Mus musculus: one gene and its partners. The protein of the gene in region 5 interacts with the protein of the main gene of each other region in a pairwise test. Links are inferred from orthologs where the notes say so. Each region holds a gene or a part of one and is shown on either strand. Other genes may lie near its edges. The genes, in order: Tsga10ip, Atp5o, Abt1, Kansl1, Cep70, Sh2d4a and Fam214b.

Region 1 (4,237 bases), on a different chromosome or scaffold from region 5:
GAGAGGAAGGAAGGAAGAATGAGAAAGAGAGAGAAAGAAAAAAAAGAGAGAGAGGAAGGAAGGAAGAAAGAAAGAGAAAGAAAGAAAGAGAGAGAGAGAAAGAAAGAAAGAAAGAGAGAGAGAGAGAGAAAGAAAGAAAGGAAGAAAGAAAGACGCCCCTCTCCACCTTCCCTCACTTCTTGCTTCCCTTCCTCTTTTGTCCTCACCTGGTGGCTTCCTGTCGTTTATGGAAAGTACGATTAGGGAAGTTGGCAGACAAGAAACTTTCATCATCTCCCAAGATGGGGGTCTTCTTGTTCCTGGCAGAGGCCTGGACAGCTGCCCGCAGCGCCTTCCAGGTCTGCTTCTGGGGACCTTTCCATGGGAACACCAAGTCTGGATCACACTCTCTCCTGGTTCCCTGGGCAGTTCCACCCAGCATCCAGACAACTCCTGGCCCACCCCAGCTTCTACCGCCGACCCCACCCCTCCATCTGAGCACAGAGTTCCCAGGATGGCGGCACCTCAGGCCTCCCTGCGGTACTAACCACATTCCAGTTCTTCCTGTAACTGCCTGTGTAGCCGCTCCAGGTCCCAGGGCCCCTTCAGGTCCTTGGCCCTTGAGATCCCCTTCTGTGGCTTTCGGAGACTGTTGAAGCTAGAGCTGCTTCCCTGGTTGTGGCTCTGCAGCTCCCCCTCTTCTGAGCCCTTCTCTCCAGAATTCCCCCCCTTATTGACAGAACTGCCCTTTCCCTTGTGGGGGTCGCTGTGTTCCTCCTCCATCGCCTCTGATATCAATTCCTCCTCCAAGATCAAGCTCTGCCCTGGGAGCTGAGGCAGTTCCCCAGAGCTGAGACTTTTCTCAGCCTCTTCAGAATTCTGGCCTTCTATCTCTAAGACATCCTCAGACTCTGATCCTGACCCTTTCCCTGATAACCAGAAGCTAGGTTGATCTAGCCCTTGACTCTCCACTTTGCTCAGAGGCAGGGGAAAGTTGGCCCAGCCCCCTAGGTGATGTCTCCTCCCCACGCTTTGCTCTTCCATCTTGTGGCAGGCTCGAAGGTCTTCTGAGAGGTTGGCTACTGACTTGTGCCTGGACTTGCACTGGGGGGCTGCTGGAGGGAGGAGCAGGGGTCGATGGCCCATGGCCATAGAGGAACTTGACTGAAACAGAGCCTGGCCATCTATGATGAAGCTCTCCCAGGCCCACTGGAAAGGGAAGGAAGGCTTTCGAGAAGGTGGACTGAAGAGACTGCAGGAGGAAGAGGAGAGAAGTCAGAATGAGGGTCCTCCTAGTCCCCAGTGCACCTTCCAGTCCCTCCCCAGCAACTTACTCCTCTGCCTCAGCTGAGCCACGGCCTTTCTTGTTCCGCCTCCGGGCCTTTCGCTCTTTCTTTGTTGTCTGCCCTGCGCTGTAAGATCTTTGTAGCTGGCAGCTCTGACTCTGGAGACTGTCACCACTCCCAAGGCACCTCTGGGCAGGGACAGGGAAGAGGGGAGCTCTGACTAGCCTCCCATATGGTGCTTCCTCTTCAGGTTCACCTCCCAGGGGCTTCCTCTCTGTCTAGACTGTGCTGTGGCTGCCTATAACCTTCTCTGATCATTCACTACCTCTTCTGTTAAGACAGCACAAGCTGGACTGGAGAGATGGCTCAGTGGGTAAAAGCACCCGACTGCTCTTCCAAAGGTCCGGAGTTCAAATCCCACCAACCACATGGTGGCTCACAACCATCTGTAATGAGATCTGACGCCCTCTTCTGGAGTGTCTGAAGACAGCTACAATGTACTTACATATAATAAATATTAAATATTTAAAAATAATATAATAAATATTAAAATATTTATAAATATTATTAGTTTTTGTTGTCTTGTTGAGATGGTGTCTTGTGTAGCTGAGGACGGTCTCAAGCTCACTGTATAGCTGAAGATAGCTTTGTTTTGAGATGGTGCTTTTCTGTGGAGCCCTAACTGTCCTGGAACTCACTCTGTAGACTCGGCCTCCAACTCAGAGGCCAACCTGCCTGGGATTAAAGTTATGTGCCACCATGGCTTGGCTGATGATAGCTTTGAACTACTGATCCTCCTGCCTCTGTGTCCCAAGTGTTGGGATGACAGGCTGCACCAGCATGCCTGGTTTGGACTTCTTTAAATTTTAGAAAAATATCGGGGTGTGATGACACACAGCTGTAACCCCAGATACGCAGGAAGCAGAGAGGGGAGGACTGTGAGCTCCAGGACAGCCCAGATCAGGTAATTTGGTAGGAGACTGCCCAACAAGCCATCCACTGCTGGCACCCCAAAACACCAAGCCACACCACCCACAACAAAAGCTCACATTTTTCTGGATGTCACCCAGGGCTCTGGACTTAGTGCTGAGGAAGTGACAAGTTCCTTAGTGGAAGGAAGGAAGGAAGGAAGGAAGGAAGGAAGGAAGGGTTTTTATTTCCCTAAACTCCTTTCCTCCCTGCAGTGTTCCCAAACTGCTCCATCTGTCCTCTGTGGTCCTTGTCCCAGGCATTCCCAACTGTTACCAGGACCTGAGCTCCAGTCTTACGTTTCCTCAAGAGCCTTAGCCAGGGCTGACCTCTTCTGGCCTAAGATGCCAATGGGCGGTTGAAGCTCCCCAACTGGGCCTGCCTCCCTCACCTGGTCCTCCGGAGAGATGCTTGATAGAAGTCTGAACAGCCCTGTAGATGTCCCTGGAACCAAGGGCTCTGTACTCTGCCTTGGTCTCTCCGATAAGGCCCTAACCAACAGTTGGTCAGTGTTTAGCATATTGGCATGTTGCCCTCTCCCACCCCTACCTGCCAGCTCTGGAACTGCCCTCTCTGCCATCTCCATGACAACCAGGCTGTGACCGGTCTGAATGATTCCAGCAAAAAGTACTCGGTAGCGATCAGCCAGAGTTCTGCTGGTCTCCTTTACGAGACTGTGTTCAACAGCGCCCAGAACTGCCTTGGGCCTTGCCTCTGCCCCTGCAACCTGACCTGGTATAAGCTCCCTACTTCTCTAGGCCTATGTTTATCCATCTGCTTTTGAAGGGATATCAGAACTTGTCACCTCAAAGGGCCCTCAGGTCCTGTGAAAATGCCCCATTGCTGCACAAGGCAGGCCATGGCCTTCTGGCCGCAGGATACTGTGTCCCTCAGAGAGGCAGCAAGCCCCTCAACCTGAGAATGACAGAACTTCAGCCATACTTGTTTCCTGAGCCTAATGGTGTATATTTATACATTGACTGGCTTTGTTTTGAGCATTTTGTTTTGCTTATTTTAGACAGTGTCTCACATGTAGCCTAAAAAAATTAAAAATTAAAAAATAAAACAAAAACAAAAACAAAACATGCTGGGCAGTGGTGGCACACACCTTTAATCCCAGCACTCGGGAGGCAGAGGCAGGCAGATTTCTGAGTTCGAGGCCAGCCTGGTCTGCAGAGTAAGTTCCAGGACAGCCAGGGCTACACAGAGAAACCCTGACTCAAAAAATCAAAAACCAACACAAAAACATGTAGCCTAGCTAGCTGGCCTGAAAGTCACTGTATAGGCCAGGCCGTCCTTGAACATACCGTCCTCTGCTTTTCCTCTGCTTCAAGAGAGCACTGGGATTAAAGGCGTGCGCCACCACACCCAGCTGGCATGTACATATTTTAAACCTCTCTAGCCATGTAAGGGCCCATTGGATCTGAGAACTCCTGGTTCACTTCATAATTGGGGGAGCACATGATGAGTGGTTGGAAGTTGCCACTGAGCCACTAGGCTTAAAGGGAAGAAGAACATAGGATTACCGAATAGCCGCTGGGCAAAATACAATTTTAAATTTCAATTAAAATAAAAATTTCAAATACAATAAAGTTCAAAATATGATTTAATTTTCAATTAAAAGAATAAGCCTGGGTCTGGAGAGATGGCTTAGCAGTTGAGAACACTGACTGTTCTTCCAGAGATCCTGAGTTCAATTCCCAGAAATTACATGGTGGCTCACTACCATCCATAATGGGATCGGATGCCCTCTTCTGGTGTGTCTGAGGACAGCTGCAGTATATATATGAAAGAAAGGAAGGAAGAGAGAAAGAAAAGAAAAAAGAATAAGCCTGTCATTTTACTGTTTCTATTGCTACAATAAAACACCATGACCAAACAGCAAGTTGGGTGGGGGAAGAGTTTGCTTGGATACATAGTTCATCATCCAAGAAATTCGGGATAGGAACTCAAGCAGGCCAGGAACCTGATGGCAGGAGCTGATGCAGAGTCCATAGAGGTGC
Region 2 (3,983 bases), on a different chromosome or scaffold from region 5:
GGTTCTTTTTATAGGCTGTACCCCGTTAGGACCGGACACAGGAACAAGCCCAACAGAGAGCTGCTCACCCCTACGCGCAGCAGCTCCTTCTCCACCTGGTCCAGCTTCTTCTCCTTAGATGCAGCAGAGTACAGGGCGGTTGCATAGCGGCCTTCGATGCCGTAGACCTGAACAGGGGGCTGGAAACAAGAGTAAGAGGGGGGGAGTGAGGCAGCTAAGTCAGGAACAGAATTACCCCCAACTCCAAGACTGCATTCCCACTGCCAAGCCAAGGTGCAGTCCTAAATGAGAACTCACAAACTAGGGCCGTCTCCCTGGCCAGGACCCTCTACCTTTAGAGGGGCAGAGAGGGCAGTGTCCAGCGTCTCTCCCAGCTCTCCCTACCTGCAAATGTTACAGCAAGCTTTGGCTTTCTTTGATCTCAGTGACAATGCCATCCCTAAGCACAGGAGTTTAGTACGACGGCAGGCAGTTGTGAAGATTAGCAATGCAGGGGCAGCAGTAAGAAGTGCACATGTGGATGTGTCCCTATCACGGTCATGGTGTTTTATGAAGTTCTCAGGAGGAATAAAATGGCTCCACTCACAGAGGCTGAAGGAATCTGGTGCTGTTATTAAGCGTAGCGTGTGTTGCTGTAAGTTCCACCCAACGTCCCTAGAGCATTGTATTCTGCTATTCCTAAGGGGACCATGAGTGCAGATCACTGGCCTGGTTGCCCGAGAGCATACAGCAGCCCAGGATATCTTCAGATTCTGCCATGCATGAATTAGTAACAATGAACTATAGAATAAATGCACGTGCAGCCATACTTCAATCTGTCTTGGGCCAGAGGTCAGTCAGACTTCTGGTTTAAAAAGAATAGGCCAATAGACCTCTGCAATCAATGGTGAGACTCTTGGTGCCTGGGAATGGTACCTGTCAGTACTGATTCTGCTTGGGGAAACAAGGTGCAGGCTGCAAGCAGGCCTCACATCTGAGCAACTCGGAGTTGCCACAGAGTATCAACTGTGTGAGAATCTGGGCACTTCACTTTCTTTTGTTAGAAACAGTTCCTTCATAAAAAAAAGAATGAAAGGCTAGCTTGTCTATGGACGATTGCTAGGAAAAACAATTTAAGAGTCTTTTATACATACAGTGTGTGTGTGTGTGTGTGTGTGTGTGTGTGTGTGTGTGCGCGCGCACGCACTACACGCAGAGAACAGAACAGAAAACTTTCAGGTCTTTCTTTCCTTTCCCCCTCCGGGTTCCAGGGATTGAACTCACACCCTCAGGCCTGCCATCCAGCCCTTACCTGCTGAGCTCTTGCTGGGCCCAAACAAGTTATTTTTAGAACATTAAAGTCTAGGGTTGAGCCCACCCTGTGTGACAGGCGCCCAACAGCATCCCCTGCACCCAGGCACTCATCTGGGAACTGCCACCCTTGCAGACCAAGGTTATTAATTACACACTTCAACGTATTTCTGTTCAACTCACTCTTTCATTGTTTTCCAAACACACACACACAAATAAGTAAGCTGACATACCCTTACAAGCTTGGCAAAGGGCCTGACCACAGATGTACTGAAGCTCCGAACCTTTAGAACAAAAGAAAACAGATCAGACAGGGTTTCTGCATTAGCTTAGCAATGTGTTAAAATAATCTAATCAAATACTTGCGCAATTCCTTTCTATCATCACACAGGTTATATGAGTGGGAGCTGCTCTTTGTTATACACTCCCTATTGAGAATCACCCCAAATCCCTCCAGAAACTGCCTTCCCAACACCTTCCTCCCTGGATAGCTGAGAGAGAAAAGCTGCTAACTTCCCAAAGTGGAATTTTTCAAAATAATTAAGAGCTTTATCACATTTGGGAAGAATGCTTTATGAAAGCGGAGGATTTATATTACATCACCTTTGAGAAAAACTTTAATGAACATGAAATGAGTCCAGTCTTAATTCAAGGAAACCTACTTGCTTAGGAACTGAAATGCTATCTAAGACCAAAGATCTCTTGATACAGCACCAGGCTTCAGGCACTGTGTCTGTCACTGGAGCAGCCTGGAATCCAGTTTAAAAAGCGTTTTGCGAGGGCACAGGTCACAGTCATATACTACTCTCTCTAGACTAGAATGTACTCGATTGGAACTGGCTATGAGGGTTAAAAAACTTTCTAACGCCTTAGTAATAATTCTGTATGGTGCAGATGAAAACCATGACGGCTGTCGATACAAAATTATCATGGCAGATGACCCAGGCACGTATTTTTTTCCACCCAATTCCAGGTTCTGCTGGACTTGGCCTGTTGCAAGCTCGCCATCACTCACCAGCTGCCAGCCAAAGGGGAGACGTTTAGCCCTTCCCCCCTTCTTTATAAACACAGGGGATGCGCTTTTCCAACACTCAAAATCCTAAGCAGCAGGCAGCCCTTAGGTTTACCAGCAAGGACAGGCATGTACTCTCCCCAGTGCTCTCTCCCATGCCCTTGCCAGCTGCTCCGCTATGCAGTGAGTCCTGGATGTCAAGGTCAAGACAGAGAAATCCGTGCCCACTCCCCACGGGGACGAAACGCGGATCCGCCCCACGCTGCCTGCAGTCGCCGGGCCCCACGACCCTGGGCGGGCTGCCTGACCCCTCAGCCACGGCCTCACACGCGGCGATGGGAGCCGGGGACCCGCAACCCTGGGAGGGAGCCTCCCGCCAGCTTCTACCTGTCGAGACAGTCCGGACGCTGCAGGCGCGGCCATCTTTTCCCGGGCGGCTGTAGGTCAAACCCAAATGAAAAGAGACTACTGGCGCCAGAGCGCACGCGCGCGCGCCAGCGTGATCGCTCGGCTTTCTGGGAAATGTACGCGTCAGGAGCCCGGGAGTGTGGGTAAGAACCTCTTGCATGCTGGGAGTTGTAGTCCGTACCTGCCGCGGTCCGGCTGGACTCGTGAACCGGAACCAGAAAATTAAGTCTGAAATTAGGTTTAGATTTAAACTCTTTGCACATGCATCGTCAACATCGTTGACTCGTCTTGAACCTGCCAAGTGTGCTTCTGTGGCAATGCTTCAGGCTTTACTTAAAACAAAAACCAAAAGTGAACCTACCCGGGCGCACTTCTTGGCTCTTCTGGCCATATTTTGATTACATAGGACAGTTGACAGGTGTGTTTGTGCTTTTTCTTTTTTTCTTTTTTTAGATTTCTTTATTTACTTCATGTATATGAGTATACTGTAGCTGTACAGATGGTTGTGAGCCTTCATGTGGTTGTTGGGGATTTAATTTTTGTTTTTGGATCTCTGCTCGCTCCAGCCCAAAGATTTATTATTATATTATACATAAGTACACCGTAGCTGTCTTCAGATACACCAGAAGAGGGCGTCAGATCTCATTATCGGTGGTTGTGAGCCACCATGTGGTTGCTGGGATTTGAACTCAGGACCTTCGGAAGAGCAGTTAGTGCTCTTAACTGCTGAGTCATCTTGCCAGCCCGTGTTTGTGCTTTTTATACCCACAGACTCAAAATCTATATATAATTTATCTATATATAATTTACTTTTTAATATGAGGGAAGATGGATACAGAATTATATGGGTTGCAAATACATTCTTTTAGAAATTGTTTTATGTGTTTGAGTGTTTTCCTGCATATATTCACGTGTACCATGTGTGCCTGTTGCCTTAGAGTCCAGAAAAGGACATCTAGTCTCTTGGAGCTGGAGTTAGAGGCAGTTGTGAGGTGCCAGGGGGTACTGAAACTGAGCACAGGTCCTCTGCAGGAGCAGCCAGTGCCCAACCGCTGAGCTGTCTCTCCAACCTCAGAAATACATTTTGTATAAGCAAATTTCTAAATTATGGCACTTTAATAAACATGTCCATAGCTGCAGAATAACCTACTTTGATTCTATAACTTAACCATTCTATGACTTTTCAACATAACTCACGTGGTTTATATTACTTTAATATATTACTTTAATACACATCTGAGTATCTTTAGATATACTTTTTCATAATTTCAAA
Region 3 (4,088 bases), on a different chromosome or scaffold from region 5:
TTTACTACATTGGACTACTTCCTCCGTAGAAAGGAGATCTCTGAGTTCAAGGTCATGTGGGACAAAGCAAGTCCCAGATCCAGGAATGGCGGCACACACCTTTAACCTGGGCCACATCTTCTAAGGAGACCTACATAATGACATTGGAAGAAGGAAGACCCTCCTTCACCTGCTTGTCTTGTGGGACTGAGCAACTGCTAGACCCTTGCACTTCCATTCACAGGTGCTCCTGACCACTGTTGGGAGTTAAGACTACAGTCGGTAAACCATCAACAAATTCCATTACTATACAGAGACTACCCATAAGTTCTGTGACTCTACAGAACCCTGACTAACACAGGAGCATTGGGATCATATCTGATAGAGTAACTGAGATTCATGGGTGGAGGAGAATCATGCCTGTGCTAAAGTAACTGAGCGGCATGTATGGCTTCAAAAGAAGTTGAAACTTACTTAATGAAAAACTAAAAAGCATATAAAAATAAATTATTTTTTATTTTCAAATATAAGCCTCAAATTGGACCTCTAATCCAATTCCTGCTAATTCAGCCTTCCACCACAGTGAACAAACACCACAGACCACTACCCTAGTGGAGGGCAAGTCCACTCTTTCAGTCAGAAACTGTTAGCTGTCCACTGAGAAAGAGGCAGGCAATCAGAAATCAAACAAAACACAACAGGCACCTCCAGTGGTCTTCACCCTGGATAGGACGAGTAAGGTTCTCAGGCTGGCACTTACAGGATTTGTTCAAAGTAGGTAAAAGACACCAACAAAAGGCCTTTACCAGACTCTTGGTGTGTGGAATAGAGAAAACATCTGCCTAGATGGTCACACTCTTCAGGAAGCAGATCAGAATGGCGCAGGGCTGGTAGGTATTTCTTCCATCACCAGGAGTCCCTTATTGACTACGGTTTTTCCTTGCTCTCTGCAGGTAGAGGGGCTCCAAAGATCTTGGCAAGGAGCCCTCTGTTGGATCGGGCCTGGTCCTCGACATTAGCCAGCCGTGCTCTTTCCCGCCCTCCTGGCCGTGCAGCTTTCCGGGCCCTAAACTCCTGCTCAGTGGGACGCTGGGTGAATGTCCAGGAGCTATTTGGCCGAGTAGCATCCCCATCAGCTGCAAGGAAGTGTTGTCCCTGTTCTACGTTTCGAAGATAGAAGTCAGTCTCTCTCTTTGCTTGGGCGACCTCTGCTCTCAGGCGTTGCCTTCGTACTTGGCGCTCAAAGGCAAGGTGTTCACTGAGGTGGGACCAAGTAAAACGATGCAAATACTGTGAGAAGGAAAAGAAGAAAAGGTCACGGTAGGGAAGGTCGGGAGAAGAAACTGGGAGCTGCTCAGAGCTAGCAGGAAGGATGGGGTGCCTGGACTAGAGCTGGAGGGGGGAATGAAGATGTGGCAGACAAACTGAGAACCTCACCTTGAGGTTCCACAGGTCATAACGGAAGGGGCTGCGCTTGCGGGCGCCCATGGGCGTGTTATGTAGACTGGCTGCCACTCGCTTGGCTACACGCTTGTCTCGGAACTCCACCCAGCCTTCGGTATAGTCCTTGCTGTACTTAGCTCCCTTCTTTCCTCCTGCGGCCGCGGCTGCCTTCTTCTTGCGTTTCACAAAGTGGTCTGTAGGCCAAACACAATGAACATCCCATCAAGCACCCACTGAGACACACCTCAGTTTAGCCGTAAGCCACACCTGCTGGTTTAGGCGCTACTTTACAGGGATTGATGAAACACGGCTGTCTGTAAGGGGCAGCTCCTCCTTTCCTTAATTCATGCCTCCCTTCAAATGACAACTTCTTGAACATTAGAACAGCACCAAGAACAACACCAGTCCCCACCTCCATTTCCAAGTTGTGCATGTCAAGAGGTGGAAGAGAGCCAGGCATGGTAGTGCACGCCTTTAATCCCAGCACTTGGGAGGCAGCAGCAGGCGGATCTCTGAGTTCGAGGCCAGCCTGGTCTACAGAGTGAGTTCCAGGACAGCCAGAGCTACAAAGAAACCCTGTCTCGAAAAACAAACAAACAAACAAACAAACAAAGGTGAAGAGGCTGAAGGAGGCTAATCATACAGTTTCAGGGACTATTTGAAAATTGAGAGGGCTGGAGAGATGGCTCAGTGGTTAAGAGTACTGACTGCTCTTTCAGAGGTCCTGAGTTCAATTCCCAACAACCACATGGTGGCTCACAACCATCTGTAATGGGATCTGATGCCCTCTTCTGGTGTGTCTGAAGACAGCTACAAAAAGTAGTAAGTAAATAAAATTTTAAGAAATAGAAAGAAGAGAAGATCGTGGGTCTCTTTCAGGCCTTATTAAACCACTCTCTCTATCCACTCACCCTCTCCATTTCCCTTCCCCGCCCCTGCCTGCCACCTAAAGGACGTGAGTACTACACACTTAGCAGCTAGGAAGGGGCCACAGCCTTCCAAGAGCCAGCACCCCACGCCTCATTCGTGTACAGCCAAGAAAATGAGTCGCGCCCGGCTGCCCGCATCGTCACCTCTCCTTTCGACGCAGGGCTTACCCTCGGCCTGGAAGAAAACGCGTCCCACCTCGCCGTAGGCGCTGAGCAGGTTGCGTACGTGAAGGGGCCGGAATCGCGGCGGGACGTGGCCCAGGTACACAATCCCCGGAACTACCTTCTTCTTCTTCTTGCTGCTGCTGCTGCAGGCCGTGTCCTCGGGCTCCTCCTGATCCTCCGCCGCCTCTGCATTCGCCTCTTCCTCCATCGCAGCCTTTTGCTGCTCCACCAACTCTCCCGCTTTCACCATGGCAAGATCTGGGGAGCACGACAGCCGTGAATCTGTCGCCATCTGATGACGCACATCCTGCGAGCCAATCTGCGGTCGGGGCCAAGAAATGACGTAAATCCTGGGTGCGGAGGGGCGGGGCAGAGACAGACTGGGCGGGGCGGGAGGGGCGAGGCCAACAGACTGGACTGAGGAGAAGGGTTGGGAGCCGCAGGACCTGGGTCCCGGTAAAATACTTCCGTCGCGCGCAGCCCTCATCTGAGGCAAGCTCTCACGGAATATTTTTATTTTTTTTACAAATGTGCATGAATGATTTTTGCCTCCATGCATCAAGAGCGTACCCTGGTGCCTCTCGTGGGATTTTTACAGAACAGAGTGTTGAAAGAGTGTGTTGTAGAGACCAAAACAGCATTTTCTTCCAGGTCTGTGGTGCGAATGTGGTTGAAAGGTTAACACACATTTTAAAAAGTTTTATGAAGTTCAACTTGTAAACTTCAGTCTGAGCCTTGAAGTTTTAATTATTTGAAGTTTCAACATATTATTTGAATTTTTATTTTATTATTTGAATTATATGAAGTTTTAACATTTTAAAATTAAAGTTTTTGAAGCAGCTTATAAATTTGCACGCATTCTTTTGGGATTTTAATTGGAGTTGCGGTTTTAAAATTTTAAACGCGCCTTTAGTAATTTTACATTTCACCTTGTGAATACTTAAATCTGTAACTGTTTGAGTAAAAAGCTGAGTACTATTGTGTTCGAATCTGTGCAAGTTGATGAGCGAAAGGTCCGGGTTGCAGGTCTCAGCCTCGGACCAGCCGCCAGGGGGCGCGGTCCGCACATCAGCAGGCCGCCTCGCTTTTGGGACCTACACGCCAGGGCCAACGCAGAGGCGGGCCACAGCAGCTGATGACGCTCGAGCGATGATGCCTCTGCTAGAAATGATGTACTAACCTCCCCTCCTGCTTAACGGACGGACGGAGAGCAGGATGATCCTGAGGACTCAAGTTGTCCCTCGTCAAGGCCCTACATAATATTTTATCCTTCATCATCACGATGACATATAGAAGACAGGGCAACTGTGTCCACAGACTCTGGGCGTTATTTGTAAAGCTGAGGTGCTTCTGAGGACCTAATAACTAAACCTGACTTTGGGGACTTGCATTGAAGAGAACTTGCTGTTGGTTACCTCTGCTCCTTTTATGAAAAGTGAATATGGAGAGAAAAGACCCCTACTTTTAACTTTTAACTGACTACTTCACCAACAATGATGACACTTGAGAGCGTCTTATAGTTACTTCAAAACATTGAGAACTGGGGGAGGGGCACATGTAAAGAAGACACAA
Region 4 (4,159 bases), on a different chromosome or scaffold from region 5:
AAACCTCCAATTTATCTCAAAATCTGCATAGAACTGATGACTTTTGTGTACAGAAACAAATCATCACATACACTTAATTAAATAACTACCTTCATCAGAATAAAGATTTTAAGAATCTATGTGATTGTTAATGGTTCCAAGTAGATCACACTTCAAAAATAATGTCAAACCACCTCAAGTTCTGAGGTCACTAACAAATCAAATCAAATATTCTAAAGGTCAAAAGAACTGTACACTTGGTTGGCTAAACCTAGTGGAAATCTAATTCAGGATTCCATGACTAAGGGTCGTTACCAAATAGTTACAATACATTGTTTAAATTTCCAAAGGATGAGCATTTTTACCTCGCAATATTTTTAGAGCAACACATCACACTGCACCTATCACATGACATGATGTAACTGTTAGCAAAGAAAATGGCCCAAGCCATTGATAACATACATCAGGAGAAAACAGATCAATCATACTCAAGAATTACATTTTATATTTACTTTTTGAAGCTAGTAACTTACCTAGAAAAAGAAAAAAATGTACTTTAGCATTTTATAGTTAATATTTACAAGAAGTTATAACAACCAAGTAAGAAGATTGGAAAACTAGAATTAAAAACTTCTCTATCAAAAATGCAACAAAGAAACACATCAAAAGTATCCACTGTCAGAAGAAAAAAAAAAAAAAGTCTCAACTGACAACAGCTGCAGTTAATTGAAAATTTCTAAATTGGTAGGAGAATAAGACAAGAAACCAAGTACAGCCCATAGAAGAGAGGAAAGGGAAACACGCCCACTTTATGCTTTTGTAAATACTGGTACTTCAAATGACCTTAAAAACAAAAACAAAAAAGGGAGGTGGGGTGGGAAATATAAACTGCAGACCAGTCTAAGAAACAGAAATCATTTTAATATAACGATTTTCCTACTTGATTGAAAGTACTTTTGAGAAGAAGTTCTGTAACTATATCATGATTATGCAAGGCAAGGATTATGTAATTTTATCGTTTATTTTAAAATGTTCTCCGAATGTATTAAAAAAAAAAAACCCTAGAGCATTGTGATCTCTCTAATGGGCAGAGGGACACTTACTTGGCTACAGCTTAAAATATTAACATACACCCCCCCAAACAAACAAACAAAACCCCACAATGATTGCTAGCCACGTGACGAAGGATATGGCAACACCAGGATTGTGAATGGAGGGGAGGAAAGCTAGGTTGGAGGACTAGCGAGATTTCTCTTAACTTTGGGGACTGCAGGATTCGGGTTTCTCAATCTTTAAGGTACCAAATTCTAACCCCTAAGAGTTGTACAGCTAACACCCTCAAGTGCGGTTTTATTAATAGGTCACGGAAAATGCTCCAGTGACCTCCAGGATAAAGGAGGAAAAAACAGGCGGAGGAAAGAGCAATTTAAAGTGGCGCCATCATGTCACCCCTTTTCCCCTAAGGCAATCAATAAGCAATAGTTAAGTAACGAGTTTCTCTAAAAATCCACATTGGGATTCCAACATTGGAAAACAAAAGGATTTCTAGGTAAAACATGGGAGTAAGATTGTTTACAATACGGAAAACAATTATAAACTATTTGCTGAGAATCAAAGGCCGTCAGTCCGAAAACAGGCCCCCCCAAAAGCAGTAAGATTCCAACTCACTTAAAAGCAAATAAATGCCTCTTCCTCTTTAGTTGAAAAAAAGGGCTGCCTGAGACTAGATCCGAAAACGCAAATGACCTCAATATTTAAGCAACAAAAAATGTTAACAATCAGAGTTGTGATACAAACCGTGAGACAGACATGCAAGATGTGTTTGAGCAAAGAAAGACCTTTTGCAGTCAAGAGAAGTTCAAGGCGAGAGCAAGAGTTTGTTTTTGGTCTTTTTGTTTTTGCTTTTTTTTTTTTTTTTTTTCGGAAATAAACCAGGTTCTCCAGGCCGCCTTTTTAAATAGAACGCCAAAGGAAAGCCCAGCGAACGAGGCGGCAGCTGGTGGGGAAGGGCCCCCGCACACCCCCGCCCTTGGGGCGACTCCCAGCCCGGACCCGCAGCGGGGAAGCCCGGAGAGGCCATTTAAAGTTCCGGGGATTTTTCTTCCCCTGCCCAGCCTTTCTAGTTACAACTAACAAAGAGAGGGAGAAATGGGAACCACAGGGAGAGCGAGGAGAAGGAGAAAGGGCAGCGGGAGGAGGAGGAAAGGAGCAGCAGCAGCACCTACCACGTGATGGAGGAGCGTAGCCCGGGCGGATTCGGCCCCACAAAATGGGCGCAGTTTGCAAACAGCCCCCCGGCCTGGGCGCCGAGGACCAGCGGGCGGGGGCGCGCGGCTGCTGCTCCGGCCCGGCCCGCCGCTCTCCTCCCCCCCGGCGCCCGGAGCCGCCCTGACTTTCCGGGCGGGGGGGCGAGGCGGAGGGGGAGGGGAAGGCGGCGGCGGCGGGGAGCGGCTGCTTTTTCTTCTCTTTCGGGCCCTTTCTCCGGCCTTCCTCCGTTCCGACCCGGCCTGGGCACGGCGGGGACCGCAGCCCCGGGCGGGCGGGGGCAGAGGGTAAAGCTGCCCCCCCCGCCCCGCACAAACAAGCGCCGCCGTCTGCAGCCCGCGCCCGCACCCCGGCCGCCACCCCGGGAGCTTCTTCCCGGCCGGGGAGCGCACTTCGGCCGCCCCCCAAGCCGCCGCGGCGAGACGAGTCGGCTTCGCTACGGCGCTTGGTTCTCCCGCCGGCTCAGCGAGCGGTGGCGGTGGCGGCGGCGGCACTGGGAAAATGGCGGCCGAGCTCCTTTTCCCTCCCCCCCTTTAATCTGAAGCGGAGGGAGAATGGAGCGAGCAAGCGAGCGGGCGAGTGCCGGGGACACGGGGAGGAGGGACAGCAGCGCCTCCGCCGGCTGCGGCTGCGGCGGGCCGCTCCGCCCCGGCGCGCCGCCAGGGGGCGCCCGCCTCGCCGCCCCCGCGGGCTGCCAGGAGGCGCGGCCGCCGCCGCCTCAGTCATGGCTCCTAGCCGCGGCCGCTGCTTCTGCGCCTCTGTTTGCGGAAACCGGTGCCTGGTGCCTGATACGTGCGGCAGCGACACGCGGCACTGCGGCAAGCGACGCGGGGCCCTCGCTTCGATCGAGGTGAGGCTAACCTGAGGCGCTGATGCCGTCACATTCCCTCGGCTCTGTGGCTGGCGGTGCTGCGCGCCGGTTTGAGGGGAGGGCGGACTGACACAGCAGAGCTAGAGGACGTGAGCGAAGAACTGTGTGTGCAGTGAATGAAGAAGCTGCTGCGGCCACACTACCCCAGGGCCAACCGTGCTCTGAGACGGGCAGGAAGCTCCCTGACCAGTGACGCGGTCCCTGCCACCCGCCCTTTGTCCTACACCCTGCTCTGTACACTGCAGCACACGGCTGGCTGCTAGCCCTAGCGCCACGCTCTGCAGCCGCCAAACCAAAAAATAAGCGGACGCCATTGCGCAGGCGCGAGCTAGGACCGACTCGGGGCTAGCCCGGGCAGGGGCAGCTGGGAGCTAGAGGGGAAATGATGGCCCACCAGCGCCGGGCCCGCTGGGAACTGTAGTTTTCGTTAAGCCCGCGTGTTGTTTTAGGCTTCTTGATTTGTCAGATCCGCCAAAATAGGCAAAAACGCATTCATTACACAGTAATTTTTTTGTTTCCTGCTACTACCAAATTAAAGTTCACAGACCCGCTAAAAGTTTAACAATGAACAACAAAAGCAAACCTGTCATGTTCTTACCAGCGTTGACTTAAAAGTAGTGGCACCTAATTACTCTTGACTCTAGTTTGTCAGCACGATATCGGTTCCTTCCTCCCAAATAAGGTTTAATATCAGAGAACATTTTCTGGACTTAGAAAACTTAATATAACGCAAAGTGACACATTACACAGTACAAATCCACCACCCTTTAAAGCTAACCATGTCCAAAGATTATTAGGACTCACCAAAATCAAATAGCATAAAACTTGTTCCAACAACTAAATCACCAAGCTCAGCAGATGAGAAGAGTAGAGTCTACCAAAAGGAAGATGTAAAATGCTCAATACTTTGTGTGGTTTACCAAACCAGTATCCGGTGTTATGTGTCACTTCAGCTCCTCAAAAAAAAAAAACTATTGTTATAGACCAGTTTTCATTAGCCCACAAAGTCTCTAACTCAACAAGTTTCTGCAGTATCTGCATCTA
Region 5 (4,225 bases):
AACAGCTTTTTCCACAGATGCCCCCCTTCCTTTCCCCCTTGTCCTTCCTCCTATTGCTTTATTGAAACATGTGCAGGATATTCAAATCTATCATTCTGATATGTGGCCTTCAAGGGTAGTTATCCTTGCTTGCAAGTGTACTCAAGTAAAAGCAGGAAGCAGAGAACTTATTTACACCCGTGATCAAGCCCCCACCCCCTGTAACCCCCAAGGTTCTCTGAGTTCTGAAAGTGTTCTTTAAAAAGTCATAGTAAAAACCTGTAAGCTTTTTCAAGAGCACACTTCCAATTATTACAAATTGACACAAAGTATTACCTATTAATGCAAACATGCTAATCGTCTGTAGTAATCTTTTCCCCATCCAGGCTATTAACAAGACACGGCTTTGGAACCTTGAAAGTCACAGGAAAAAAAAAAAAATAACGGCATCCTAGGGCCAAGGCAGAACCTTTACAGAGTGTTGTTAACACACAGGACTCCTAGAGTAGGAAGTAGAGGACGGATGTCGTTTAGCCACGTGGCAAATAAAGCCAAGTGTTACAAAAAGGAGAAAAAAAATCACATACCCATAATTCCCAGCTTTGGGTCTTAGGAAGGATATGAGACAGCCCAGGCTACATAGTAAAACCCTATCTCAAGAAAAGAAAGAAGCCAAACACAGTGGTAGACACCTTTAATCTTACCACTCAGGAGACAAAGGCAGGCAGATCTTGTGAGTTCGAGGCCAGCCTGGTCTACACAGTGAGTTCCAGGACTATATAGAGAGACCCTGTCTCAAAACAAAAACAAAAAAACCAAAACCAAAACAAAAACAAACAGAAATGAAACAGCACAGTGCTAAGAGCATGTTATCCCTTACAGGGGACCAGAGTTCAATCCCCTTCACCCACGCCTGGCAGCTCACAACCACCTATGACTCCAGCTCCAGGAGATCCAACTCCTCGGCCCCCACGAGTACCTGTACACATGAACACGCACATAATTAAAAGTGGTAAAAATGTTTAGTGGCGGATGGTGATGCATGCCTTTATTCCCAGCACTCAGGAAGCAAATCCTAGTGGACTCCTGTAAGTTCAAAGCCAAACTGGTCTACATAGTGACTTCCAAGACAACCTGGACAACATGGCAAGATCTTGTCTCAAGAAAAGGAGGGTGGGGAAAAAGAAAAGAGAGAAAAGGAAAATAAGAGAAAAAGAAGATAAGAGAAAAACAAAATGAGAAAAAGATGAAACTGGAGATGTTTGAAACAGAACCTTGGCTGACCTAGAACTAGCCTAGGCAACCCATCCCTCTCAGCCCTGGGAGTGTGAGTACAAGTGACAGCCATCATGGGGGGAAAAGTGTATATTTTGACACAGTCCATCCATGTTTCACAACAGTTCATTAATTGCCCTGTAGGTATCTGAGGATCTGTTAAAATACAACACATACTAAAATTTTATAGCCAGGCAATGGTGGTGTGCACTCAGGAGGCAGAGGCAGGAGGATCTCTGTGAGTTCTAGGTGAGCTGGGTCTAGAGAGCTAGTTCCAGGACAGCCAAGGCTACATAAAGAAATCTTGCCTCAAAAAACAAAAAACAAAAACAAAAAAAAAAAAAAAACAAAACCCCCATAAATATAATAGCTGGGTGTGGTGGTGTTTAGCTGTAACCCCAGCATTTCAGAGGTTGGAGGATCAGGAATTCAATGTCGTCCTCAGACGGCCTGCATGAAACCTTGCCTTAACGTGAATCAACAATTCAATTCCAACAACATTGCAACTTGCTCTTCACGGTTTACCATTTACTAGCTATTTACTATTTACAAAAATCCATGCAATGCACAAGATTGAAACCAATGCCTGCAGCGCTGATATGATTACAAAATAAAGTGGCAGGCTAGAGAGACAGCTCAGTGGGTAAAGGCACTTGTCCCAAGAAAGCTTGAGAAGCAATCCTCAGAATCCACAGGAGGCGAGAATTCTGTAACCCCGGGCCTCCTGTAGGGAGATCGGACTCTGCAGCTCTCCCCTCCATCCCCTACAGTATGCAGAAAAACAAAAGACCTTGTCTCAAACAAGGTAGAGGCAATGACCGACGCCCAAGGTTGTCCTCTTTCTCTACGTCTGCACCGTGGCGTGAACAATTATTGATTAGTTGATAATAGTGGGAACCTTGATTAGGCTTTGCTGTGTTTTTCACATTAATCAACGTGGACCCACATAAAGGCGGAGTCCTTAAATTTGTAATGAGTCTGACAGGAGGGGTACTCGCCTACCCTTTACTCCGCGATCTCCCACTTGGCTCCAAATCGCTATCACCTGACAGCGCCGCAAAGAGAACTGGAGCTAGCCCGGAACCCAGCCGATTCCATGTAGGAGTCTAAGCTCAGTTCCTGCTTCCTCTACCAGGTCGCACACCTTCAACACTCGGCTGGGAGAAGAGGTTGAGTGAGGAGCGAGGGACACAAAGCGACGGGCGGGCTCCCCGCAGGGAGGTCCACGCCCACACCTGCACGCGCATTTCCTAGCTAGCGCGTAGGAGCCGGGGCGACTCCATTCTGAGGGCCCTGGCTGGTGAGTGGGACGCTCCGGATTCCGGAGAAGCCACCTTTGGGCGTGCACCTGAAGGGGGCCCACGTAAAGTCCTCGGCGACCCCAAGCGCCACTCACCTCGGTCACAGCCCGTGGCTTCCACCGCGCTCGCCCCCGCGGCCTAAGCCCCGCCTACGCGACCGTTAGCGCAGCCAGGCTGACCAATCGAACTGACGCAGTCGATGGCCTCCCAGCGGGGCGGGACAACACCACCTGGCGCGCCGGGAAGGCGGGTCCACGCCGCGCTCTATCGTTAGCTCCGCCCACGGGGCGGGGCTTCTTCCCGCCTCCACTCCCACCGGACCCGGACTTGCTGCGGCTACTTTGTAGCAGGCGCTTTGACACTTCCTGGACGCTCCGCCTGATAGTCGCTCAGTCACCATGGTGTTTCTTTGATCCCCGAGAAGCTAGAAATACACACATTTGCGGTTGCAAGTGAAAGTGAGGCCGGGGCTGCCTTATTATCACTGGATGCCTGCGCTCCCTACAGCTCCCCCTCACGCCCTGACTGCGAGCCTTTTTCAGGAACTGTCTGCACGGGGCAACCCCAATAAGCATTTCTTGATAACATTTCACCTTCTCCTTGAATATTTTCAAAGGTCTACGAAGAACTGAGATGCCTGCCTGACGAAGCTCAGTCTAGATAGGCAGTTTGGGCTCCTGTTAGACACTGATAAGACTGGTTAATAAAGGGTTTGTGGCTACAGAGATAAAAGATTACATAAGGACATGAGGCACAACTCTTGCTTCAACTTTAGATAAGCTGAAAAGCCTTGAAAACGATCTATGGGCCTCCAGGTTAATTAAGTCAAGATCTCTAAAGTGGGGCCCACACGTCCAGAGTTTATATGGTTCCCCGAAGTGATTCTAATGTATAGCCAGGAGGGAGAACCAACTGTCCGCTGAGAAATAATTAAGACTGATTCTAAACCTGGTGGGGAAGAGGGACTGGAGATGTAGATCAGTTGGTAGAATTCAGCGTCCGGGAAGCCCTTGGGTTTGATTCTTCAACACGGCCTAAGACAGGCGAGCTGACACGTGCCTGTAATTCCAGAATTTAGGAGGTACAGGCAGATCAGGAGTTCAAGGTCATCCCTGGCTTTATAGCAAAAGTCAAGACCACCGGAAGCTACAGGAGGCCTTGGCTCAAGGAAAAAAATAAAACGAAGGTCCTTCTCCACTCTTTTCAAAAACCAAAAGTGGGTTAAGAAATCCAAAATATGTAAGGGAAAAAAAATCATGTTCGCAGTCTAAAGGATGACCTCGAGTTTTCAGGAATCTACCATCGTTGTCCTTGCAACTTACAGCCACACGGTGGCGGTATTGACAACAGGCATTTCCAGAAGGACTTGGGAAATGCAAGTCCCATCAGGGTCTTAGTGACCCTAATACATCAACTAAAGTGACTCTCTCTGGGTGGTCCAAGGGCACATCTCTTAAGAGAGTACTGCTCTCAAGCCCACGTTTAGGCACACAGTGAGTCTAAACTGTGTGTGTTCTCTGCAAACACATCCCAATCCCTCTATTCCCCCTCATGGCCCCTTCCTTCCCTTTCTATATCTGGATATTCACACTACGGAGCTGACAGATTTTCATTTTCAGCTTCCTAAGACAATCTAACTGCTTACCTTTTCCAGAACAATAGGGTGACTT
Region 6 (2,839 bases), on a different chromosome or scaffold from region 5:
AATACAGTTCTTTGACTATCTGCTCTAGTTTGTTTCTCTGTTGCTATGATAAAATACTTATCAAAAGCAACTTGGGGAAGAAAGGATTTATTCCAGCTTGTAACTCCCAAACCACAGTACATCACTGAAAGAAGAAAGGGTAGGGACTCATAGCAGGAACCTGGAGGCAGGAACTGAAGCTGGAGCAAGGAGGACTGTTGCTTACTGGCTTGCTCAGTTTGGTTTCTTACACAACTCACCTGCCAGGGGTGGTGCCACCCACAGAGGGCTCCCATATCAATCATTAACTAAGAAAATGCTCTTACAGACAAGCCCACAAACCAGTCTGATGAAGGTGATTCTTCAACTGAGGATCCTTCTTTCAATGTCATTCTAGTTTTGGGTCAAGTTGATGAACTATCCATTTGTTTTGTGTTTGTCCAGTAACCAAATAACAGGAGTTTTGTTTTGTTCTGATTCCCAAAGACTTCAAGATATACATGGAATTTAATTCTGATTTTCGTAAACTCTAATTCATATAGGGAGGGGCAACAGAGGAGTACTTTGTAGGGACTTGACTGATATGACTTTTTCTCCCTTTCCCACAGGGATTCTCACACTGAAGAAAGCAAATGAACTTCTGAGCACAGGTGTGCCGGGAAGTTTTTTGATTCGAGTCAGTGAAAAGATCAAGGGCTATGCCCTGTCCTACCTGTCTGAGGAAGGCTGCAAACATTTCCTTATAGATGCATCTGCCAACTCTTACAGCTTCCTGGGTGTGGACCAGCTGCAGCATGCTACACTGGCAGATTTGGTGGAATATCACAAGGTGAATCCAATCATATGTTTAATTCACACTAGGAATTATTGTCCTATAGATATATAACAAAGAATATAGATATATAACAAAGAAACAAACAAAGAAAATAAATATATAACAAAGAAAGGCCTGACTAGGGATATAGCTCAAGTACCCTTGAGCAAAGGGATGGTGGTAGCACATAATTTCTGCTGGTAACAAGGGGTTTTAATTGTATTTCCTTTCTCATATCCACCTGGCATACTCAGAGATATCCCACGGGAGCTGAGAATACTAGAGATGTATATTCTGAGCATATCTGAGGGTGTTCCTATGCTAGAACTTGGGCTTCAGTAGGACAGGGAAACTGAAAGGAGGGAAATCTCTTTTAGTATTGTCATAAGCCAATCTAGGTATGCATAAACCCAGGGTAGAGGAGTGATCTCCCCTAAGGAGCAGCATGAACGTCTACCACATAGCTGCCTCATGGCCCTGTGCTTTGATTGACAGGAGGAGCCCATAACCTCTCTGGGGAAGGAACTCCTTCTGTACCCCTGTGGTCAACAAGACAAGCTGCCCGACTACCTGGAGCTCTTCCAGTGACAACTCTCATCCAGATCAGCCTCCAACTTCCAGCTGGTTTCCCCTCTGGACAGACACCTCTGAGATGGACATTTGTGTGTGATGCCAAAATCTCTCTGTGACAGAGCCAACAGTGAACAACGTCTGAGGTCTTCATTGAAACCTCTCTTCTGCATAAATGCTGGATTCAGTTTAAGGGGGTGTTACCTCTCTCTCATCCTCATTCTGAAAGGAAAAGGGGGAAGGTACCCACATTTGCAACATCCTAATATGAAGGATAGGACCTTGAAGGATATGACCATGATGATGTATATAAGATAAAAAGGACAAGGGTACACTGAAATCTTTTTAGCAATTAAGATGTTATTTTAAAAGAACAAGTGAACAATTTCATGATCTACACACTCCCTTTTTGTTATTCACTCAAAGGTCTCAGTATTCTGTGTGTATAAATTTTTATCTTGCTTTTAGAATGGTGGAAAAATGTCCCCACTGAGGGATGAGATTATCTTCAAAAGACCACCCTTTCTGTGTCTGTTGGAGTGAGGTTATAGAAGACAGAAGAGAAAGACCCAAGTGTAAATTGAAAGACAAGTTTCAAAACTTGAGATGAGAGACTTACCACATATGAAAAAAACCAACCAACCAACCAAAGGTTTTATTGTGACAGTAACCCTGAGTGTGATGGTTTGAATATGCTTGGCCCACAGGGAGTGGTAGTATTAGGAGGTGTGGCCTTGTTGGAGGAGGTGTGGCTTTGTTGGAAGAAGTGTGTCACTGTGGGGGTGGGCTTTGAGACCCTCCTCCTAGCTGCCTGAGAGATTCAGTCTTCTGGTTCCCTTCGGAAGAAGATGCAGAACTCTCAGCTCCTCCTCTGCCATTCCTGTCTGGAAAATGCCGCGCTCCTGCCTTGATTATAAAGGACTGAAACTCTGAAGCTGTAAGCCAGCCCCAATTAAATGTTTTTCTTTAAAGAGTTGCCTTGGTCATGGTGTCTCTTCACAGCATTGGAAACCCTAACTAAGACGCGTGAGTAATCTTAGGGTTTGTTTCTTCATTCTTCTCTACTCCCCCCCCCCCCCATCTGAAAGTAAATATAAAAGATACTGTGCGTGGCCATGTAAGGACTTGTGTGGTCCTGATTCCAAGAGAAGAACTGAATAAGTGAGTGGTTTGGATACCACCTATTGAGGGATGAATTGTGTCCCACACCAAATATACATGAAGTCCTGACCCTTCTGTATCTGAGTATGAACTGATAGAGAAATAGGATCTGTGCAGAAAAGATAAGTAAGATAGGCTCCAAATCTAATGAGTTGCATCTGTATAAGGGAGAAAGATAAAGAAAAAAGACAAACATGAGGATGGAGGTTAAAGGACCACAGAAACAGAGAGTAGAGTGGTGTAGGGCAGGGTATGGCGGGGATTATGAAAGGCAGTACGGCCCAGGCCCAGACTCTCCCTAGGACTCTATTAGGA
Region 7 (3,999 bases), on a different chromosome or scaffold from region 5:
AGGTCTGTTGTGTACTTGTATTAATTGTAAAACCCAGAGAGGAAGTAGGGGGGGCCCTCTTTTTACAGTCCAGTAATAAACTAATGGTCCTGGGGACTCATAGCATAGGCAAAGCATTGGCTTCTACTTCCTTTGGTTCTGCTGTTTGTTCCCTGTTTCTGTGACCGACAGGGAGAAAAGGCCTGAGTTGGTGACAACCTGTCTGACTTGCTGATAAGTTCAGAAGACAAAGTAGACAAGGCTATCCATTTTCTCAGGTTATCTCGAGAGCACTCCCTGTAAAAAGTGTCTGTGAATGCCCAGTCCTCGCAAAAATTCCGTCCTGGTTATTTACAGAGCTAAGGACAAAGGTTAGGGATGCTGACTATAATGCTGCTTAATTTGGCTGGCTCTGGGCTGGGCCCGGGGCCCTGTGACTCAGGGGGAGCTTGGTGAGTTTCGAGGGAGCTGTGAGTCATGAAGACGAACTTGGTCTCCATCTGACTTTGGGCAGAAGGCCTTCTAACTCACTTCTTAGGATGCTCTGTTTCCTCGGAGCAGAGGCCTGTCAGCAAAGAGTGCTCCAAAGCCTGGTCTCGGAAGGGTTTTGAGAGTCCCTGAAATGTCAGCCTCCTGGGGTCTCTAACAAAGACAAAAAGGGGGTGGGAGAGGATGCCATCTTTCAGTATGGATAGAAATAAGGTACGACTGTAGTAGGTCTTTTTTTCCTGCTCTTGTAGAAAGCTTACTCGATAGCAACCCTTTTACCTGGAGCTGTTTCGGGATGTGGGGGCGAATGGGCTTGGGGATATGTAGGGTTGGGTTTGGTGTGACTTGGAGATTGTTGAGATTTATCTGTGAACACACTGGAGCTTCATATTAATTTACTTCAGAACAGGAAGTGTGGAGGAGAAAGGTTTGTTGAGCCCTGAGAGAATGAAGTCTGAATGGGGTTAAATGACAGGGCAGAGAATTGCTTAGGACTTGGACAGAAAAAGGGTTAAGGAGGTGGGCGGAGCGACATTGGGTAGGCCTGCCCTTATGTGGACCAATAGGCGTGCGCTCCTTGAAGAGGGCGTGACTCACGCTTGAGGTTGCTGAGAGGCTGGCCTCCACTGGGCCAATGAACATAGTTGTTGCCCATAGAGGGTGTGGTCTGAGGGGGGCGTGGCAGCCGTGGTCGCAGTGCTGGGGGTGGCTGGGCGCTGGGCGGGGCGGGCGGCCCCATCAGCTGGTAGGAAATGGCCTGTGAGTCAGAGGGGCAGCTGAGTCTGCGGCGCGGAGCCGGGGCGGCCCCGGGGAGGGACCGTCGCAGGGAGGGGTGCAACAGCAGCTAGAGGGGCTGCGGACGCCAGAGCCCGCTAGTGTTGCACACGAAGCTGATCAGGGAAGGGCCAAGCAGAGCAAGGCTCTCAGCCTAAGCCACCCTTTGTCTGGGTTGGGGGCCCGTAGTAGGGGGGACTGGTTATCCGAGGGGAGGGACCGGGACGGGGACGGGACCGGGACGGAAGGGCCCGGAGCAGCGGCCACCGCGGCGGAGCCAATTTGGGAGCGGGGTGAGTGTGTACTAGGTGGAAGGATCAGATCTCCAAAACCTCTGCAGGGTATGGGGCCTGTCCCAGACTGTGAAGAAGGGATGAGAACCGACCTGGGAGGCTAAGCAGGGGGTGGGAGGAATCGTCCAGAACAAGGAGTCCAGGAGTCAAGGTGAGTCTCCCCGTCTGAGTTTGGAGGGGTTTCTGAGGTCTGCTCCCTCTCTATTAAAGGTGAAGGGCTCTAGGCCAGAGTGAGAGCGAGTGTGAAAGCAGAGATTAACCTTTCTACTCAGAACAGTGGTCTTGGGAACAGTCACCCTAGCGTGTGTAGACTTGTGTGAGGACAAAATGTACAGCAGTGAGCAGCAGGACTCTGCCCAGGATAAGAGTGGAAAACACATGGGTAGGAATTCTTACCCTAACCTTCCTTAGGGTAAAAATGGGTGTCTTGAGAGTGAAGGGAAGGATAGAATGAGCCTAGGTGTTCTTCTTGTACCACAACCTCTCCCACCTCCCAGGTCTAACAAGTATCTGAGGGTACAGACCTCATGGTATTCTGGGACTTGTTGTTTTTGCTGGCCTTGCTCTCGGCATGTTGGGAGCTGTAGTCCTTGGCAGCCACAGTCTGGCACAGCTGTTTAATGCCAGCTGCTGCCCATCCCCAGCATGGAGGGCGAGGTTTGGCTTATACTGGCTTGTCCCTTCTCCCGGCAGTCCTACCCCATGAGTCAGCTTGAAGCTGGGTGGCAGAGGAGTGAGTCTTCGAGCGTCTCTGGGCAGGGAGGGAACTAATAGGACTCTGGATTAATGAGCAGATGCCAGCATGCTGGGGTCAAGTAGGGCATCATGTCATCACCTGGCTTCCTCGAGGCAAGGGCTCAGGAGGGCAACTGAGATGACCTGGAAATTGGGGTGCTCAGGAAAACGCCCTTCTTGAACTTTAAAGCTTGGGTGGAGACTAGGAGGGGAAGAAAGGAGAACAGGTCATACTCTCACGACACTGCTACTACTGGCGTTCTCCGCTTTCTAGCCATCTCACCCACATGAAGGACTGGAATGTTCTTAGGGTCTCATTCGGAAGGGGGCCTGGTGAAATGGCAAGGTGTGGTCTGAAAGGAAGGCAATGGCTGATGTAGGAGAGTCCCTACGTGTAAATGTCCCCCCTCTCTCCGTCTCCTGCCACCACATGAACTGCTGCAGTTCCCCATGTACAATTAATCTCTCCACTCTTCACCCATACAGTGTGTCTCTACACTGTCAGGCTGCTGACCAGATCACTGGTGCTAGCTCGGATTTAGGCTTTTTTTTTTTTTTTTTTTTTTTTTTTTTTTGAATCTTGATGTGTGTTTCTCCTGAGCTTGAAGTTGGGCTGGGGAAGAAACACAGTCCTGTCCTCGGGCCTGACATAATCAGAAGTGAACAGCAGTGTCATCGGGTTTCAGAAAGTAGTTAGTGATTTGCCTGTCTCTGCCTCCAGAGTGTGTGGACTAAAAGATGTGTGCCACCACTCCCCTCAACTTGTTTGTTGGTTTTGTGTTTTGTCTGAGGTAGGATGTCTCATAACCTCATCTGACCTTAACTGTCTGGTGTAGTGGGAAGTCTGGCTGTAACCTGGTTTTTGTTTGTTTGATTTTGACAGAGGACCTCTCAACATGTAGCTAGACTGGTCTAGATCCTCCTGCCTCAGCCTCTAGCACTATGTTAAAGGGCAGTATGGTTGGTAGTGCTCACAGGCTGCTGACCAAATAAGGATGACAGTGGGGACAGCTGGCCTTCAACTTGAGAGTCTGGTCACTGAAATATTAGTGGTCTGTGAAGACCATTGTTGTGCTTTGGCAACAAAGAAATGCTTTAGCTTTTTTTTTTTTTTTTTTGAGTATTGGTTGTGCCCTGCGGGAGGGGCATGGAGAGATACTCCAGTTATTTCCAGTTGGCTGCTTGCTGCTTCCTTATCTCTGGTTTGCAGGGCCTGGGGGGAGGGGTGAGAACTAGAAAGTATCTTCTGACTGCGTTCTCTCCTTCCACCACTTGTTTTTGGTTAGATTTCTTTTTGTTTCGGGGAGGTCTTTAGGGGATGGGGGTAACAGTGTAGCCCTGGCTGTCCTGGAACTCACTCTGTAGACCAGGCTGGCCTTGAGCTCAGAAATCTGTCTGCCTCTGCCTCCCAAGTGCTGGGATTAAAGGCATGTGCTACCCATGCCCTGCTGGATTTCTTCTATTAAAAAGACAGATTTCTGAGGAACGTTAGGATTTTAAATGTGCAGGGCTGGCTTGGAGCTGACTTGAGTTCTGTAGTTGTGTGATGGGGTGTACCTACCTGCATGACCTCTGCCCTCAGCACTCTCGAGTGGCACTTGCCCCTTTGGATAGATATAAGGAGATGAGTTGTGTAACTGGGTAGCCTTGAGTAAGAGAAGTACAGTATTGTCCTGTCCACCTACAACCTGACATGGAATCTCTGGTCTTTGGGGCATCTTATCCCCTA

What was found.
Region 1: the proteins of Cep70 (region 5) and Tsga10ip interact in binary tests that used the Homo sapiens proteins (3 or more experiments, as listed by UniProt). The two-hybrid records come from large-scale screens. The link is inferred for Mus musculus from reciprocal best matches to the Homo sapiens genes CEP70 and TSGA10IP.
Region 2: the proteins of Cep70 (region 5) and Atp5o interact in binary tests that used the Homo sapiens proteins (3 or more experiments, as listed by UniProt). The two-hybrid records come from large-scale screens. The link is inferred for Mus musculus from reciprocal best matches to the Homo sapiens genes CEP70 and ATP5PO.
Region 3: the proteins of Cep70 (region 5) and Abt1 interact in a two-hybrid assay, tested with the Homo sapiens proteins (2 studies listed by BioGRID and IntAct). The two-hybrid records come from large-scale screens. The link is inferred for Mus musculus from reciprocal best matches to the Homo sapiens genes CEP70 and ABT1.
Region 4: the proteins of Cep70 (region 5) and Kansl1 interact in binary tests that used the Homo sapiens proteins (3 or more experiments, as listed by UniProt). The two-hybrid records come from large-scale screens. The link is inferred for Mus musculus from reciprocal best matches to the Homo sapiens genes CEP70 and KANSL1.
Region 6: the proteins of Cep70 (region 5) and Sh2d4a interact in binary tests that used the Homo sapiens proteins (3 or more experiments, as listed by UniProt). The link is inferred for Mus musculus from reciprocal best matches to the Homo sapiens genes CEP70 and SH2D4A.
Region 7: the proteins of Cep70 (region 5) and Fam214b interact in binary tests that used the Homo sapiens proteins (3 or more experiments, as listed by UniProt). The link is inferred for Mus musculus from reciprocal best matches to the Homo sapiens genes CEP70 and ATOSB.

The regions. Positions count from the first base shown.
Region 1 is NC_000085.6:5,399,707-5,403,943, forward strand, and holds the start of Tsga10ip (testis-specific protein 10-interacting protein), read right to left. Parts: upstream 2,801-4,237; 5' UTR 2,755-2,800; coding exon 2,626-2,754; intron 1,454-2,625; coding exon 1,314-1,453; intron 1,232-1,313; coding exon 528-1,231; intron 355-527; coding exon 207-354; intron 1-206.
Region 2 is NC_000082.6:91,928,831-91,932,813, forward strand, and holds the start of Atp5o (ATP synthase subunit O, mitochondrial precursor), read right to left. Parts: upstream 2,801-3,983; 5' UTR 2,726-2,800; coding exon 2,690-2,725; intron 1,575-2,689; coding exon 1,524-1,574; intron 180-1,523; coding exon 69-179; intron 1-68. UniProt on the Homo sapiens protein: Subunit OSCP, of the mitochondrial membrane ATP synthase complex (F(1)F(0) ATP synthase or Complex V) that produces ATP from ADP in the presence of a proton gradient across the membrane which is generated by electron transport complexes of the respiratory chain.
Region 3 is NC_000079.6:23,421,067-23,425,154, forward strand, and holds the start of Abt1 (activator of basal transcription 1), read right to left. Parts: upstream 2,801-4,088; 5' UTR 2,767-2,800; coding exon 2,520-2,766; intron 1,617-2,519; coding exon 1,417-1,616; intron 1,270-1,416; coding exon 907-1,269; 3' UTR 1-906.
Region 4 is NC_000077.6:104,439,521-104,443,679, forward strand, and holds the start of Kansl1 (KAT8 regulatory NSL complex subunit 1), read right to left. Parts: upstream 2,801-4,159; 5' UTR 2,205-2,800; intron 1-2,204. UniProt on the Homo sapiens protein: Non-catalytic component of the NSL histone acetyltransferase complex, a multiprotein complex that mediates histone H4 acetylation at 'Lys-5'- and 'Lys-8' (H4K5ac and H4K8ac) at transcription start sites and promotes transcription initiation.
Region 5 is NC_000075.6:99,241,916-99,246,140, reverse strand, and holds the start of Cep70 (centrosomal protein of 70 kDa), read right to left. Parts: upstream 2,801-4,225; 5' UTR 2,651-2,800; exon of another isoform or gene 2,257-2,650; intron 1-2,256.
Region 6 is NC_000074.6:68,345,366-68,348,204, forward strand, and holds the end of Sh2d4a (SH2 domain-containing protein 4A), read left to right. Parts: intron 1-587; coding exon 588-808; intron 809-1,288; coding exon 1,289-1,381; 3' UTR 1,382-2,339; downstream 2,340-2,839. UniProt on the Homo sapiens protein: Inhibits estrogen-induced cell proliferation by competing with PLCG for binding to ESR1, blocking the effect of estrogen on PLCG and repressing estrogen-induced proliferation. May play a role in T-cell development and function.
Region 7 is NC_000070.6:43,037,502-43,041,500, reverse strand, and holds the start of Fam214b (protein FAM214B), read left to right. Parts: upstream 1-1,199; 5' UTR 1,200-1,535; exon of another isoform or gene 1,536-1,686; intron 1,687-3,999. UniProt on the Homo sapiens protein: Transcription regulator that may syncronize transcriptional and translational programs.